Lepisosteus oculatus: one gene and its partner. The protein of the gene in region 1 interacts with the protein of each later gene in a biochemical or structural test. Links are inferred from orthologs where the notes say so. Each region holds a gene or a part of one and is shown in the gene's direction. Other genes may lie near its edges. The genes, in order: arhgef12b and igf1ra.

Region 1 (8,609 bases):
TCTGGGCCCCGTGGTCCGGCGGGGAGAGAGAGACTGGTTGTTTCAAGCCAAGGACGTTCAGGATTGTCGGAAGAGAGAGGCGGGGCTTCAGAATAATGATTTTGCACAGATTTTGGATCCTTTTGCCTTTGGACCTATTTATAAACTACATTAAGACACCTTATTCTGTATTCTTACGACATGGTTGGTAATATGAATATTTTTTACACTTTTGAAACTGTAAAGCCACTTTTGAATACCATTGAAACTGGTTTTGACTGAAAATATGATATCCTGTGTTATTAAAATGAAGCGTTTTTATCCCTTCAGTCATGATGGGGACGAGTCCAGAGGGCTGTTTGTAAACTTCCTTGGTTTATCTTCATCCTGGGGAATTTGGAGGGTAGGTTCCCTTTACCACAGTACACAGAAACAGCTTCTTCATTGATCACCTGCTGAGTCGATTGTGAAACGAGCTCATACATAAAAAGCTAAAACACATCAAACAACTGGAGGTCTTATTTTGTGGAATTAAAATGTCATATAACTAGAATATTTTTAAATGAGAGTTCAAGTTTGTATTGACATTAATTAAAACATTGAAATTCAGTACAATGTGGGGCTGGTGATGTCTTTATTAGAAAAAACAGAACTTAATTCCTTTTACTTTCCTTTTGCATTTTACAGATTCCGCTGCATACATCAGTAGTCATTGGTAGTCAACAGTCTGTTTAGGACTGTTATATTCACAAAAATCACTGAGAGGGACAATGTTTTCAGAAATGTCTTTGGGGTGAAAATAAGACTCAAAAACTCAAAGGATCAAAGTGATGACCAGATGTTTATTTAGTAAAAGTTAGAATAGTTCATGGGTGAGGATGCTGTAGCACATTTCATATCAGAAATAGGTTGACTGGAAGTATAAGTTCAGATATGTCAGTGGAGAGTAACTCATTATCCATCCAATTTGTAACCACTTCTTCCAATTCAGGGTCTAATTCGGAGACTATCCCAGCAGGCAAAGGGCTCGAGGCAGGGTACACCCTGGAGGGGACACCAGTCCAAGGCAGGGCACACACAGACACAGACATAAACACATTCACTCACACCTGGGCCAATGTTCCTTTAAGCCAATTAACCCACCTGCACGTTTTTGGACTGTGGGAGGAAACTGGAGCACCCAGAGGAAACACAGGTGAACATGGGGAGAACATACAAACTCCAAACAGACAGCATCCCAGGTCTGAAATTGAACCCAGAGCCCCAGCACTGCAATGCTAACCACTGTGCCACTCTGCGACACCCTTACTCATTATCACAAACTCAAATCATCTCCGAGAATGCTTTATGCACATAAAAAGTGGAAATCCGAGGAACTGTTGCTTTCTTTAACTCCTTTGCAGGTTCCAATTTACATTACTTACCTGCCTTTCAGGAAACGCTGCAGTTGATCTGGTCAGGAATTGTTCAATTACTCCGATTGTCAGAGAAACATGTAATATTGCCATCTGTCCGGTAGGTGGCAGGTTACTCCACTTTTTCGCATGCTTTAGTTTTGCAAACAAAACGCCGAATTTGGCACTCGGGTACTGGGAGTCAAGTGGAAAGTCCACTCAGATGCAAGTTGCTTATGTAAGGGGTTACTTTTGTAAAATTAACATGAATTTGGGGTCGGGGGAAATACTTAAACATTGATCTGTATTGCATGTACAGTATGAGGTTATCGTAGAGAAACTATTAAACATAACAGACCCCTACACGAGCAATTGTATTTGACTACGTTCGTTACATGATCATGGTCACAATTAAGTATTTTTCCCATCACTGGCTGTAAACTTACTAGTCCAGAACAAAAAGCATCGCAGGCCTGATGGACATGAAATGGTGCTTTATCTTATATTTTCAACTTGACTTTGATTTGTTTGTGTTCGTAACCATGAAGTCTTCTTTGCCGGCTTCCGTCCTAAAATCAATATTGCATCTTACTACTTCCGACTCTCCGTCGCGACTTTTGTAAAACTGAAGTTCCGGACCCCCTATTACAGACTTAATCTGTCATCTTCCCGTGAATCTTCTTCATCTGTCATCTTCCCGTGAAGGGAGGACTGGGACAGAGGCTGGGACATTATGTGAGAAATGCAATAAAATGTGGTGCACGTCTCGTTTCATACCTATTTTACATGGTCACAAATGCAAAACCAAAAAAAAAACAAACATTTACACGTCTCAACTATTTTTTGTCATTCTTGGGACCTTGAAACATTTTTGGATCGCTTTACAACTTTGCAGCATTTTCTAATAAGAAATGAACAGCTACTCATTTCGGAAACGCATACAGCCCCTTGGCTGCGATTGCATTGATTTCTGCCTTGAGGAGGACGTCAGATATGACAGGCGCTTTAAAAAGTATTGAATTCCCAGGGGGCTCTGAGCTCTCCAGCTTCCGGGGGACTGATGCTGGTCATCGGATTTTAGGAAGCCGTTCACATCGATCGCGATGGTCGGGACCGACCTCTGTGCAGCTTGTAGGCCGCGCTAGGAATCACACAGCCCTGCTTTCAGACATTACATCAGGGATCCTTGTTTGTTTAGAGATAACACCCGGAGATAAGCATTGCATTTATCCGGCGCAGATCTGCGAAGAAATATTCTTTTTTTGTAAATCATTAACTGAAAAGTAGGAAACAGTAAAAAAAAAACCCGAGCCGGGATGCGAGCATGCTCGGATTCTCTCATGACTAAATCCTGGAGGAATGGCCCTGTTTTCACTGCGAAGGGGCGAGGCTGTGTCCACTTTTATTTCTAGAGAATAATAATGAACAAGAAATAGGTTTGTTACCTTCAGGTGGAGTATGGAATAAACCTATTACTTGTTTCTTTGCAGCCTACGCATGCTGACAAAGCTACTCACCTAAACTAATAATAATAATAATAATAATAATAATTGCTTACACTTACATAGTGCTTTTCTGGACACTCCACTCAAAATGCTTTACAGGTAATGGGGATCCCCTGCACCACACCAATGTGCAGCTATGATGATGCAAGGGCAGCCATTGTGCCCAGAACGCTCACCACACACCAGCTCTCAGTGGGGAGGAGAGCAAGGAAGCCAATTCATAGAGGGGGATTATTAGGAGGCCATGATTGATAAGGGCCAACGGGAAAGTTGGCCAGGACAGCAGGGTTACACCCCTAATTTTTTCTAGAAACACCCTGGGATTTTTTATGACCACAGAGAGTCAGGACCTCGGTTTTACGTCTCATCCGAAGGACGGCGCCTGTTTACAATATAGTGTCCCCGTCACTATACTGGGGCATTAGGACCCACGTGGACCACAGGGTGAGCGCCCCCTGCTGGTCCTACTAACACCTCTTCCAGCAGCAGCCTTAGTTTTTCCCAGGAGTCTCCCATCCAGGTACTGACCAGGCTCACACCTGCTGAGCTCCAGTGGGGCTGCCAGTTGTGAGTTACAGAGTGACATTGCTACTGGCTTGAGCGTCTGCATACAGCCCTATGTTCTGGGTCAGTGGCCGAATGGTAATGAGGTTTTCTCACCAAAGTGATCCCTGTAGTTCAGAACCTGCAAGGTGCCTCAGGATCCTGTAGGCCTAGACACCACACTGTACGGTGGTTAAACAAATACATTTCATATATAACTGGTCTGAGCACTTCCGTTATGCGTGTCCAGTCCTGGCCCTGGAGGTCTGGTGTATGTATATGGGTTTTCATTCCAGGTCATCTCTTCACGGGCTTAAACAGCTGGGTACTGGCTTAACTGGGCCGATCTTACAGCTTTCTGAGCTCTCTCTGTTTGTTAACGAGGTGCACGACACGCCGCGGTCCACCACCACGACTGGACGCCTAACCCGTCTCCCAGGTGAACCCTGGCGGCTTGTGTCCTCCTCCAGGGAGGAGATCCACTTCGGGTTTTGCTGACTCTCCCTCTAAGGAGGAGTAGCTGAGACCTGCTCTCTTCACGAACGTAAGAACGAAAGAGAAGTCACAGGAAGGAGCGCTCTGCTTGTTTAGCTGCTGTTGATCCAGCCACCTCTCGAAATATCCCAGGAATCTGGCTTCAATAACATAGCTGGGCAGTTTGCTCCAGACACTCGCCACTCTTTGTGTAAAAAAGGAACCTCCTTTTTCTAACCCAGTACAAGCATTAGTATCATTATTCACGGGATGTATTTTGTGCTGGCTTCTGATGTCTTCCGACATAAAAAAAACTTACAAATTCTAGCAACTGTGTAACGATGAAAGAGGTCACTGGGGCTGTGGGACAGCCAGGAAATCGAGCTCCTGATAAATCTCTCTGCACAGCCTCTAGTGGATCCGATAACTGCCCGCTTAATTGCTTAATTTGTGTGCAGACTTTACCCTCTGCGAGAGACGATTGTCTTAACGGCAGAGCGCCTTGCATTCCATGCTGTTCTGTCACGTAGTCGGGGAACTGACGAGCACAAAACGTCAGGCAGCCTTGATAAAACCCACTCAATTCACTAAGCGTAAGCGCCCCCACCAGTCTTACAGAAAAGACCTGGCGAAACTCGGAGGGTGTGATGCAATTATAAGGGAGGTCAATACTATCTACCAGGCGATGGCTGCGTTTTAGGTACCGTGACAATTTGACACGATACAATCTCAGCTTGCCGCACGTCGTTTTAATGACATAATATACTCGGTTTCCAAGCATCATCCACGTAATATTGCTTGGGCATCGAGTTGAAAGAATAAAAAAAAAAAATACTCTAATGTGTTTTACAAATGTCATTTTCCCTTACCGTGATGTCAAGATATGGGAACTAAACAATGACACAGTGGATACATTAACACAAATAAAACACGCGTTATATACTACATTTCACTTTCTTGTCCAATTTATAAAACTTTATTATCAGGAAAATAAACCTCACAAATTAAAGCCATTTTCACATGGGATATCTAGTAAAAAATACCGATCCCCGTTCTTCCCAAAGTTCTCTTTGGGATTATATGTTTTTGGTTGGGCGGAAGTAGACGCAGGAATGAGGGAGCGATCAGTCTGGGCGGAGTGATCGGGGAGGTATTGTCAATTTGTTGAAAGTAATAGACTGTAAGAAGAGAAAGGAAGACTTGCGGCCGTTAAAGAAAAACTCAGAAGTTTACGGTCTGTTGTTTGAAGAGTTTAAAATAAAGGGGTTTCTTCTATCTGGGAGCGTTGCTACCGTGCGGCAGAAAGAATAAGGGTGGGAAACGGGACAGAAGCAAAACACTGGATTGCAAAAACATGGAGACACGGAGAGAAGGGTATTCCGCGCAAGTTTGAGGGATTTCGTCTGCAAGTCCAACATATCGGGGAATTTGAAGTGTCGCCCGGAGCTGAAACCGGTTCGATTTGTAGCCTCATCCCTTCGCTGTTCCCCTTTTTTGTGGAAAAGATCTGTTTTCGGATCGGGGAATAAGAGGGAAGCCGAGTATCGAGAGAACACCAAAAAAGTTTTTGCCCTGGAAAGCGCCGGACTGCCTTGCTGAGGAAATCTGGGAGTTCGTGTTGCTGGAAAAAAAAAAAAAAACAACAAGGGGGGGGGGGAGATCGCGTTTTAAAAACCACGCACAGCCGTGCGGGCGCGCCTCGGGTTGCTATGTAAGGATCGGGAAGGGGGGAATCTCAAAATTAGAAAAAAAAAGGACAAGAATTTGCAGGTTTTTGGAAGAGCAGGAGCAGGAGCAGGAGGAGGAGGAGGAGGGGGGGGGTAGTCTTTTTTTTCCTTTTCATTATTCATTGGAATATCGGCAAAGCAGGAGGGCCTGTTTCTGGACAGCGGGGCTCTGAGGAGCCGGGAGGCTAATGGGAGTCCTCGCGGCCGGGAATGCTGTGAGTCGCGCGACCGGGACGGGCTGCTCGCGCCGGGCTTCGGGAAAGTCCCCCGAGCTGGTCGGGAGGGAGCGGGCGGCGCAGTAGGATGAGCGACGGCGGGCACGGCTCCGGGGGGGAAACCGAATAGGGATGTATATTCCTAAAAGCATCGTTTAAAAAAAAAACAAAAACAGAAACAGAAATAGCCGCCGCCGCAGCAGCAGCAGCAGGACGGGTGGGGGGGTGTGGAGGGGACCCCACGGTGGTGTGATGAGAACCTCGCCGACTGTAAAGGCAGGATTCGAAGGGAACAGAGGCGAAGCCGGAGAAAGGAGAGTTTTCCAGCCGGGAAGCGCCTTCACAATAGGAATTTCAGTGCGCCGGCGGAATTGAGCACCAGGCGGCGGGGAGACGGAGCCAGGGGGCGACGCGTGCTCGGGAATCCCGTCCTGCGGATTTTTTTTTGGGGGAAAAAGCCTTTCGCGCATTCCCCGCGTCAGACCCTTCCGGATTCTCTTAGGATTGTACAGCGATCGCCCGGATCTGCTTCATTTTTAGATCCATTTATTTATATGAGATACAATTTTTCTTCCCGCTCCAGTGGAAGGATCCCCGTTTACATTATTGTTGTCGTGCGCCCGGTGTGGGAGAAAGAGTCGTCGCGCTGCGGAATCTCGACAGAAGTCTGCCCGACATCTCGTCCACTGGGGTTTGTTCTTCAGCGATATTCGTATCATTGTTGGCATTTGTGACACACACACACACACGAGAGAGAGAGAGAGCATCCTGACGGATATTAGGAGGGACCTGCTACTTTCCCGACAGACGGAGGGTATTTTTATTTTTGTTAAAATGCTAATTGGATAAGAGCCGAAGCAAAACTCGAAACAGAAGCCCAATGAGCGGCACACAGTCTACAATCACTGACAGGTAAGCGATTCGCGGTGGCGTTTGTCTTGGCTTTTGTTGATATCATTTCCAGGCGTGCAAGGCAAAAAGTGTCTTTTTTTTTTGTTTGTTTGCACGGCGCGGCGTGATGTCTCCCATTAATGTTTTATTTTAATGTGGTTTATCACCCCTCCCCTCAGTCTGTTTGTCAGGCGTTGATCCGGAGAGAAACGATGCTACAGTATGTGCAGATAAAACCTGGCGGTGGGAACAAAGCTGTCGGGGCCGCGGGAGCGAGCGCAGTGTCGCCGCGCCGGGTGGGCGAGATCGCGCGGCGCGGCGGGGCACGCGGGAGTCGGGTGGGCTTCGCACGTCCAAAGCTCAGTTTCATTTCTGAACTGCGTGAAAGGTGGTCGGAGATGGGGTTGTTTGTATTCCCCACACCGAATGGTTTTGACCTTGTGGCCGATACGGTCATGTTACGGAGCGTGACACATATGCGCGACGTTCATTGACGAAGGGCCCCCCGTCTTCGGTCTCATACGATCTCGCATGCTCAGATTTCCGAGGGGCGGAATGCAATCGAAGCGGAGCCCGAACGGCTTTCCGGGGTGGGGAAGGACCGGGTGCTTTTGCGCGCAGCGAAGTTGCAGGCGGCAATGGAGTGGGTTCCGTCTGCACGACAAGCGCCTTGGATTGCATAACGCGCCGCTGCGTGTTCGTGCGTGTGCGCCCCAGCACTGGGGCTCAGACCCCAGAGGCGCCGGGCATGTGTGCTCAGTGTCGGGGCTCTCTGTTCCAGTACCTGCGGTGCTTTCTTCTGGTGCCCAGCGGTTTTGGTGGCAGGTGTGGCGATGTGGACTGAAGCCACCCTCATGCCAAGGGACCAGCGGTCTGCCTGTCTGACGACTGGCTTGCATTGCGCGCCCCTGGGGTTCTTGCAGGGTGACGTCCCGGTCCGGCGGAGGATGGGGTTGGGCCGGACGGCTGACCCGTCCGCAGGGTCAGTTTTTACTCGACTGGTTCACCTGCTTGTGACTGCTCCCGACAGGTGCCGGGGAGCGATTTACCCAGGGACAGGGTGGAGAGAGGGATTTCTTTTCCGAATTCATTTTGTTTTTGTTTGTTTTCTGTGATTTAAATGGCATTTCTGCATTTCATCCTGGGGAGAAGAAGCGAGCGAGCCAGCGCAGTGCTCTTCTGTGCTGGTCTCCCCCTGGCGCTGTGTGTCGGTGCCCCAGCAGGGACTGAGAGGGGGTCAGTCGGATCACGAGCTGTGCGATCCGAAGGCCGTGCCTGAAGCCTCTGGTCCCCCAAGTACAGGAGACCGGAAGGCCGTGTGTTGGCGTGGCCTGCCTGCTCGGGAGCACCTTTGCTCTGAGATGTGTTGTCCGTTCTGAATAGCAGCTGAGCTGGAGGGGCCCCCAGAGGGCCCGGCCTGCAGTTCGGCACCCTCCTCGGCAGAGTGGCTCTCGGGCCGCTTGTCTCTCTCCAGCCCCGCCAGAACGGGCCTGCCCCTTGTGTGGAGAGGGGTTTGGGGTTTTGTGTTTCGGCCTCCCTGCTCCCCAGTATGCGGTGTGCTGGGTGGGCTGGGCAGTGGGAAGCAAAACCTCATCCGGGTGTCGGAGCACCTCAGTCCCTGCCTGCGCCCGGGTGCCGGCCCTGTCCGCATCGTCTCCCTCCTGGCTTGGCCCCGAAGACCTTTCCCATCTGCAGATCCCCCCCGTTTGATTTCTTGTCCGCTGACCCTCCTGCTTCCCTCCCCTCTTAGCTGGGGAAAAAAAACGAGCCAAGTCTTTCCCTGCTTCTCCGACGCGCAGATCTCTGCTGTGTGGCTTGCGTGTCGGTGGTCTTGCTGCCTTTGCCGAAGACTGAAGCCGTCGCTGTGTGCAGAGACGCCCC
Region 2 (8,495 bases), on another chromosome or scaffold:
ATCCGCTCCTCCTGCATGCCTCTCTGTCTACAGTGTCGTTAAGCAGACAGTGATTCATCAGGTAATGAAACACAAACCACAACAAACACTGCAAACAGGAGCCTTGCTCTGGTGAGGTCATCCTGTCCTGGCTTGCTGGATTTTGCCCCATAATTGAGCTTCTATTCCAACCAACATGACAACAGAGATTTTGTTTGCCAAACCTTCACCAGAATGGTGCCTCTAGAGCAGGCTAGGTGAGTTCAGCGAGCGGGTACTGCAGGAGGTGTTACCTACAGTAAGTATTCTGTTGGGCTACAGCCTCTCATATGATAGGGTGTTCCTGATTCATATGCTCATAAAATAGCTTCAGAGTTTTCATTAATTACCTACCTCAGGCATGCCTCTCAGGTGAAATACCACTGTGGGAAAGCCTCAAGTGTCCTACTGCAAATATTGCAGTAAAGTAAGCCCATGTCCATTATGATAAGCGCTATATAAGTGTAAGCAATTATTATTATTATTATTATTTTATTATTATAGTTTGCAATGGTGTTGATCATGGCTTTCTGCACTATTTTGGAGTTTACTATGGTAGAGTTCTTTAACTGTTATCATCATCGCCCAATCCTACAGCACTTAGTGGAAGTAAATTCTGTAGGACTTTTGCAGAGTAAACTGTGGTATACCATTACTTACCAAAGGTAATTATGGTTATTAGAGAATATTACAGGGATTGTTGTAGTGGTTCTTTATCAGGGCTAGCTGTCCTGATCTGCAGAGAAAATACTTCAGCTGTGGAAGGATGACATGTTACTGCACATTTCTGCATGAAATTGCACATGAATATGCGTGTTTAATTTTGTCGACCCCCCCCCCCAGTTAGAATTTGCCTGCTATATCAGAGCCACTGCCTTCTCTGTCATCCCCATGTCACCAGTGGGTGAGCTGCTGTTTTCCAGGATGGTTCTGACATGAGGGGTGTGGGAGTCTGGAACAGGCCTGCCAGCCATGTTGCCAAAGCCGATAACCTGGCTTGTTTCAGTAAACAGCTGAATGGGATGCTGGGATCAATTAGCTACTCGCTAGCACATGGCCGAAATGGACTCCTCTGGTTTGTGCCTTCGATATGTTCTTGCGATGGGGACCAGCGACTAATAAGAAGGTTCTCCAATATGTATTGTCCCCTTTTCATAATAAAATGTTTTTTGCACTCTGTTTTTGAAAGTTAAGTGTTTAACATTACAACCATGTTGAACTTTACAAAAGCCTTTAATCTGCTGAAGAAGAATCAAGAGTATCAGGAGGATGAAAGAAGCCTAAGAAAGCTGAATGATGAAAGGACGTAAGCCCACTGTGGAATGCCTTGTTTCCTGACATCCAAAGGTGCTAAATAAATTTTGGCTACAAAGGTGCATTTTAGTGGAGACTACAGTCCACAACTGGAGACTGCATTCAGACTTTTTGAGTCCATATAATAGGATCACCTTTTTTAAAGTTTGTTGAAATGATTCCTCTTGTCAGCATTTACAGGGACCGCAAACAGTGCTAAATGTCAATGGTGAGTGGAGGCTGAGATGAAAAACAAAATGTGCAGTGGGACACAACTGCAAGCAACAAAAATGTCTGCTTCCTACTTACTCTTGCATAGTATGATAAAATACTGGCATTTAAAGTTAAACTCTTAACTCACATTTATAGGTTGTTACCACCTCTTTCATTTTAAAAAATCATTTTGAACTACAGTAAAAATCCCTTTTTTTGTCTGACCATCTACTGTATCTGTCTGTCTGGGGGGCTGGCGGTCTGCACAATCTCCAGGCAAACGTGATGTCTAAATTCTGTTGGAGATAAAAAGAGCAAGAGTTATAAGCCCTGCAGAAGTGCCCTTCATCTACACAAACAAAACTCTCATTCCCCCTGACAGCAGAGAGAGAACTGTAAATAACACCGATATCACCATCAGGTACCTCATGAGTCATATTCAGCTTTTAATTCAAAAGCTTAAGCTGTATTTAGCCTCCCATTCAAATCTGTGATTATGATAATAGAAATTGACACATAATTGTTTCCGCATTGATGCTCCTGTTTTAACTGTTTCATGCTTGTCTGATGATTGTGTGCACTGTTTCACATATATTCATCTAGATATTTGACGTGTATCCGTCAAGTACATGTGAATCGCAATAATTCTCTTCACACAGACCGTTGCAAGGGGATTTGGAGTTTTAGTTGCTGATGGACTGATTGTTCAGGTGGATGGTAATAGTGCTGGCAATCACACCTAAACTATGTATTACATTTCTCCAGTGAATATCATCTAAAAGCACAAAGTGCGTGCAACCAACCAGTTCAGGCAAACGAAATCAGGTGCCTATAGTCTGAATCAAGGCACTGAGGACTTCTCTCACTGTATTTCACAACACAGCTGGGTGAGATGCTTCCATCAATTAGCTACTAGCAACCAAATTGCTTCTTCAGAATCTTTCCTATGTTTGAGGCAGGATTCTGTTACCCATACCAAAGTCAGTTAACCTGTCATTTCTTATTATTCATTACATTGAATATTACATTGCAATACCCTTGAATTTTTTTCACACTTACAAACATATCATGTATAGCCAAATATAAAACTTTAGAAGCTTACTAGTATATATATGATTGCAAGAGCTGGCCATCTTGGTGAAGAATGGAAATGGAGTAAGCTATACGTGATTACTGAAAGGTGCTGTGTGAAATACTCTGTTGTTTGGGGCGAAGACGTAGTGCAGACATGCTCGGAGTGCCGGGAGAGCCGGCTCATTGTCAAGTGGCTGCTCCAGGGCTGATCCGGGCGAGGGCGCTGACTCAGGAGCACGCGCTCGACATCGTAGAAAACACTCGGCTCAGCAACAACCACACAGCTACTGCCACTGACCCTGCACGTGTCCAGTTTGTGCTACGCTGAAAGCTTGGAGGCTGTGCTTCACCTCTACTCATGAAGGACTGAGAATTGGCTGCTTCAATTGAGGTCAACAAACTGTACAATGACACAGTTTGGTTACATGACAATGTTACACGGACGGTTGTCAGTCATCTGGTCGAGCACAGATACTGTCCTGTTCAATCCTCCATCTCCACTGCTCAGCTCCTTCATCCTGTAACATCTGCTATGACAGGGGTGACCAGAGGTGGCCAGTCCAACAGGTGTTATATTGTAGGTGGCTCTTGCATCGGCAGTTTGTAAAGACGTGGAGCAGACGTGAGTTTTCGATTTCGTAAGTTAATTTGTTCGGTCAAGTCACAAATGTGCCAGCTGTGGTACTTGAAAGCAGCAGGGTTGGGGGATTTTCTTTTCAAATGACCTCTAAACTACCTCCAGTAATTGCATAAATCACCTGCTTACTTGGACAAAATGAAATTCTTCCAAGGATTTAAAACTTTCTGATTCAGGGGGACCTGTAATACCTCCCGGATTGCAGCCCTTCAGAGCTGGTCTGCTCTGTTCTTGCTATTCCAGAAGGAGTTACTCTTTACAAATTCCTTCTTTCGCTTGTCATACTTCTTGCTGTGTCCATGCAATATTATGCAGTTGAACAGTGTTAACTGGATCAAATAAAGATGTTATTAAATACGATGATGGATGTAATCTAAACCAGTGCTTCTCCACTTTTGAGGTACCAAGGACCATCGCTCTGAGGCCTCTGAGGGCTGCTGAGGGTCAAAACTGTCCCGACGCTAGAAGACACTTCAATGGGCAGTGTTACGGCAGAGACTGGTCGTTATTGCTCCAGGCAGAAACCTGGCTCTAGACGGTCATGTGATCAGTTGTACACCGAAACATGTTTTACCAAGGAAAGTTACATTAGGGTGATGTAACCTGTAAACAACATATCTCCCGCAAATCATTCTGTGACACCATTGTGTACACAAGGTAAGTGGAGTTTAAAACAAGAGCTCAGGAGCAGGTCCAACCCTAACCTTGCCCACTCCTATGGATATGCCCAGAAGACAAGGACAGGTTTGCTATTCCAATCACGCCACCTCTCCCCCTTGATCAGGTTATTGAAATGCTACCTCTTGACCTCAGTGGGCACCAGCTCTCCTGTCAGGCACCGGTCAGCATGTGGAGAGACAGGTGGAAGAAGCACATGCCAGGACCGGGCTTGCTGGTCTCCATTCACTCTGTGTGGTGCAGAATCTGCGGTGAAGTCAAGCCTTGAAACATATAGACTGGTGACAGGTTATTCTTTCTTATTCCTTACAGCGTTATCGCTGGCAGCTGCGCAGGCAGTGTGATATATTCATTGCCTCTAGTTTGCTGGATGCTACCTTGTGCGAGGCAGACTGGTGATGCCCCAATCATCTTGTCTGCAAAGCCGGCGATCTGTGTTTAACGTCTGGCTCAAACTGACATCTCCTATTGAGTAACACTGTTGTTTAAAACTTTGCATGCTTTTGCTATGACTTAAAAAGGTGTTTTCCATGAGTGCAAAGAGTAATAGCAACATACTCTTTTCCAAAATATTTCGTTATAATGACTGGTTTATTTAAGTGCAATGAATCACATAAATCAAACGTCTGGGTTTATGTGGGAGCTTGTGATCAAAACCTGAATAAAGTGGAAGTGAAAAGTAAAAACTTTGGTCGTTCTGGGCTGTGTGTAATAATCATAAAATTGTGTTGTTTTTTGCTGCATCAGAAAGCTATTTAGTTGTGCTGTGAGCACATGTACAGTATGTATCTGTCACTGCACTCCCCTGAGCACGTTGCACAACTGCATACAATGCGGTAAAACTCTTTTTAGTATGCTTGGTTAACACCATTCATTCTTCCCGATTTACATTTAAAATTGGTTGGCAGCGAAAACAGCCACGGGGCTGTAGACAAATACCAACGCTAACTCCGTGATTTATCTGTCCCGGAGGTTTTCTGATAACTCCGCGTTTGACTGGGCCGAGATAAAAGAAATACTGTCGATGCAAACCCAAAAAGAAGAAAAAAAAAGATCAGAGGAAAACAACATCCGAAGGAAAACCAGTTTCTTTCGGCGTGGAGCGGAGTGGCCAGACGGGGAAACTCCATGCCAGCTTTTCCCGTCTGCTCTAGTTAGCGTATGTGTGTGTGTCTGTGTGAGAGCAGGCGACTTGTTTACAGCGCTGATTCCAGCAGGCAGACACAGACAGTGGAGACGGGTGAGACCGTAGCCACGGGAAAGTAGACCGCTTCACCTTCAGCTTTCTCTCCCCCGGTTCAGAGAAAGAAGGAAGGAGGAGAAGAAGAAGAAGAAAGAAAAAAAACCCCAACAACAATACGACGGCGTGCCGCTGCATTTGCAAATTTCGACGGAGACCTTTTTCAATCTCTGTTCCTTTTCAGCGTGGGAGAAAGGGATAGATACATCCACCGCAAGTCACAGAAAAGACGGAGCGGGCGAGAGAGAAAGAAGGAAGGAGAGAGGGAGAGGGACAGGGGGAGGGGGTACAGTTGGTGAACCATTTTTGTCCTGACGGATATTTTGGATGGAGCTCAAGCCGTAGAGAGAGAGAGAGGAGAAAGGGGGAGGGAGAGAGAGACAGACAGACTCGGCGAGAGAAGGAGTTGTATTTTCATTCATTTTGTCCCCCCCTGCGTTTCTCGCCGAAACCCGGAGCCCGGCCTCGGGAGGGTCTTCCCCGCGTCTGGCGGATCTTGCAAATTGTAATTGGGGGGAGAAACAGATAAACCGGAGGGGCACGACAAGACAGCGCGGCTGCTTCTTCTTCTGCTTGTTGTTGTTGTTGTATTTTTCTGTTGTTTTGTCTGGCGAGCGAGCGAAGTGTGCGTCTCCCCTCTCCGTGGTCTTTCAAGAAATGGAGGCTGAGGATGCGGACTATCAGCCGAGCGAAAGCTGCGACTCGCGTGTTTCGTTAGCAATCTTTCATGCGTTGTATTGTTGGCAAGCCTAACAAAGCCTTTTCCATCTCCAATTTTTTTTTGGTGTGTGTGTGAGTTCGTTTGGAGAAGATAAATAAAGACCACAGGACACGAGCGATCACCTTAAAAAAGCAAGGATTTAAGTTTTTTTTTTAATTCTCCCGTTCTTCCTACCAGGAGTCAACAATAAGGAGAATTTGCTTCAAAGCCTGCTTCTCGGAAACTGAGAAGCGTTTTCTTGTTTTAGGGTTGTTTTTTTGGTTTGTGACGGGGCATTTTGAAACACTTTTTTATTTTTATTTTTTTTTGGGGGGGGGAATTTTCTCAAGAGGAATGAGGTCTGGGACAGAAAGGGATATTTTGACCTTGTTTTGGGGTCTGTTGCTGTCTATCTCCGTGATCTCCCTATGGCCGGCTAATGGAGAAAGTAAGTACACAAGTTTTTATTTTCCAGTTACAAAATCCCGTTCTTTCGTCTAATGCATTAATCGTAAATGGAAAATGTATAACGTTTTTGAAAGCGTCTTCTTGTTGTTGTGGTTAGCTCGTTTACGTGCTGTTTGCTAGCTTTTACTTAAAAAAAACGTAGTGTGAAGTTTGACCCCGAAGTTAACTTCTCTTTATCGCCTTTTCATTTATAACTAGCTAGCTAGACACTTCAGGGAGATTTTAATATGTAGGTTAGCACTGGGTTCAACAGTAAGGAACAACTGGTAATGATTTAATACGAGGTGAAGCGTTGAAGTTTGAACAGGTGAGGTGCAAGTTGGACTTCAATCAGTTTGAATAGTTCACAGAATAAAACTTATTTTAAAGGATACTGTGAACGTTGTTTACAATTACAGTCTATGTTCAGTATAGAGTGTCATTCGGTTGATATTCTTAAAAGTGAATATACAAATGTTTAGCAAGCGTTTGGAGATAACCTCAATTTAACATCTTCATAACGAGGCACCCGTGTTTTAGCAAAATGGTCTACCCGTTGCGTTTTGTATATTACGACTGATTTCAACTACCGGGATTACATTTTCATATTTATGTTCTCAGTTTAAAAAATAATCCGTCCTAATTTATTCTGCATGTTATTTTTTTTTAGTAAATGCCAGTGACATTTCGAGTTAATTTCGTGTGTAATTATATATTTTCAAGGTTGTATTTGTTTTAATTTTAGTCAGTTAACCAGGCGTTTGATGGGTTAATCGACCAGCTACACTTTTCTGATTTTATCTTGTCCCCTTAGTAATTTTGCTCTTACATGGAAAGTTTTGCGACAGATTTTTCGCTCGTTTCGGGAGGTGTGAATGACAGCCCCGGTCAGCCTCGTCCAGCCCGACATGTGCGCTTTTCTGCCCAGTAAACCATTTTACTTGCACGGTTAGATGCCAGATCATTTTCAATTTTCTGGGCAAACAATTGAAGTTATTTCTGACTGATTTTCTTCTTAGAAATAGTAACAGGACATGAACTCTTGCGAAGACCAGCCGTAAGTTCTTAATTTGATTTTCTGACTGGCATTGAACATTGAAATTGTTTTAAAAATAACACGTTTCGTTGCTTGCTTTTTCGGTTGTACATTTTAATGCTAGACAATTATATATATTGTAGGATTTAGTAGAATTTTTTTGGGGGGGATTATTTGCATGAACGCACAGAGGGGTGCTCGGCGTGTGTGCAAGGTTTCCAGTTTTATTCGCAGGCTGATTTAAAAAAGTCGCATGTTTGCACGAACTACAGGGCAGAGGTTCGATGGGCGCGCGGTGTGCAGCGTGGAATATATATATATGTGTGTGTGTGGTGGGGGGAGTATCCTCGTGCTGGACAGGACGCTCGCGGACATCAGGTGCAAGAGGGGCCCCGGGCGGCGCGTGGCGGCGCGGGGACACGGCTTCCGGTCCCCGAGGAGAGAAGGTGCTCGGGCTGGCCATGTGGCCGCGCGCATCCGGACCGCACGCGCCCCGCGGAGGCACGCCGTGTGCGCGTGCGAGCACTGCCGAAATTACTACCGCGCTCCAGTGTTCGCACTATTTTTTATGATGATTGTTGTTGTTGTTATTATAATGCACATCCTGTGGCGTGGTGCGACTTTTCTTCTGCACATGTTCCAGCGCCCGTGTGCGCCCGCACCAGGGCGACCGTCGTCGCTTGAGATGTATTTTAATAATTAATAGATGTATTTTGACAGTCGCTGACAGATGTTACGGCTGTGGCGAACGGGAGATGGTTATAAAATATATTACAGTGGCCACGAATTCCCTTTGCCCTTGGCTGGCGATTTCAGCGTCGAAGACAGCCCGGCTCAGCTGTCAGTCCTGCAGCACTGACCGATACTTCGCTTTGCGCGCTGCTAGAGCGTTTTCAAGCGGCGAGGGTACAGCTGTTTTATTTAGACAGGGGTCGAGAGTTTCTGTGAGGGGGGGTCCAGGATGTCTTGAGCGGTGAAGGGTGAGCTCTGGGGGATGCGGCAGACACGCAGACGGATGAGTGGATCACTGGGGAGCCCCGCCGCTGTAGCTCATCCGCTCGGGCGGCCGGCTGTGTTGTTGTTGCTCGCACAGACCGTCGTGGCCCGCACGCTAGCTCAGCCTTCACGGCTGCTACGCTGGGAAATGTAGAAGCGGGTT

What was found.
Region 2: the proteins of arhgef12b (region 1) and igf1ra form a complex in vitro, tested with the Homo sapiens proteins (2 studies listed by BioGRID and IntAct, with this or other methods). The link is inferred for Lepisosteus oculatus from reciprocal best matches to the Homo sapiens genes ARHGEF12 and IGF1R.

What each region holds. Positions count from the first base shown.
Region 1 is NC_090718.1:14,317,648-14,326,256, forward strand, and holds the start of arhgef12b (rho guanine nucleotide exchange factor 12), read left to right. Parts: upstream 1-5,011; 5' UTR 5,012-6,717; coding exon 6,718-6,749; intron 6,750-8,609. UniProt on the Homo sapiens protein: May play a role in the regulation of RhoA GTPase by guanine nucleotide-binding alpha-12 (GNA12) and alpha-13 (GNA13). Acts as guanine nucleotide exchange factor (GEF) for RhoA GTPase and may act as GTPase-activating protein (GAP) for GNA12 and GNA13.
Region 2 is NC_090700.1:54,513,960-54,522,454, reverse strand, and holds the start of igf1ra (insulin-like growth factor 1 receptor), read left to right. Parts: upstream 1-5,079; 5' UTR 5,080-6,207; coding exon 6,208-6,301; intron 6,302-8,495. UniProt on the Homo sapiens protein: Receptor tyrosine kinase which mediates actions of insulin-like growth factor 1 (IGF1). Binds IGF1 with high affinity and IGF2 and insulin (INS) with a lower affinity. The activated IGF1R is involved in cell growth and survival control.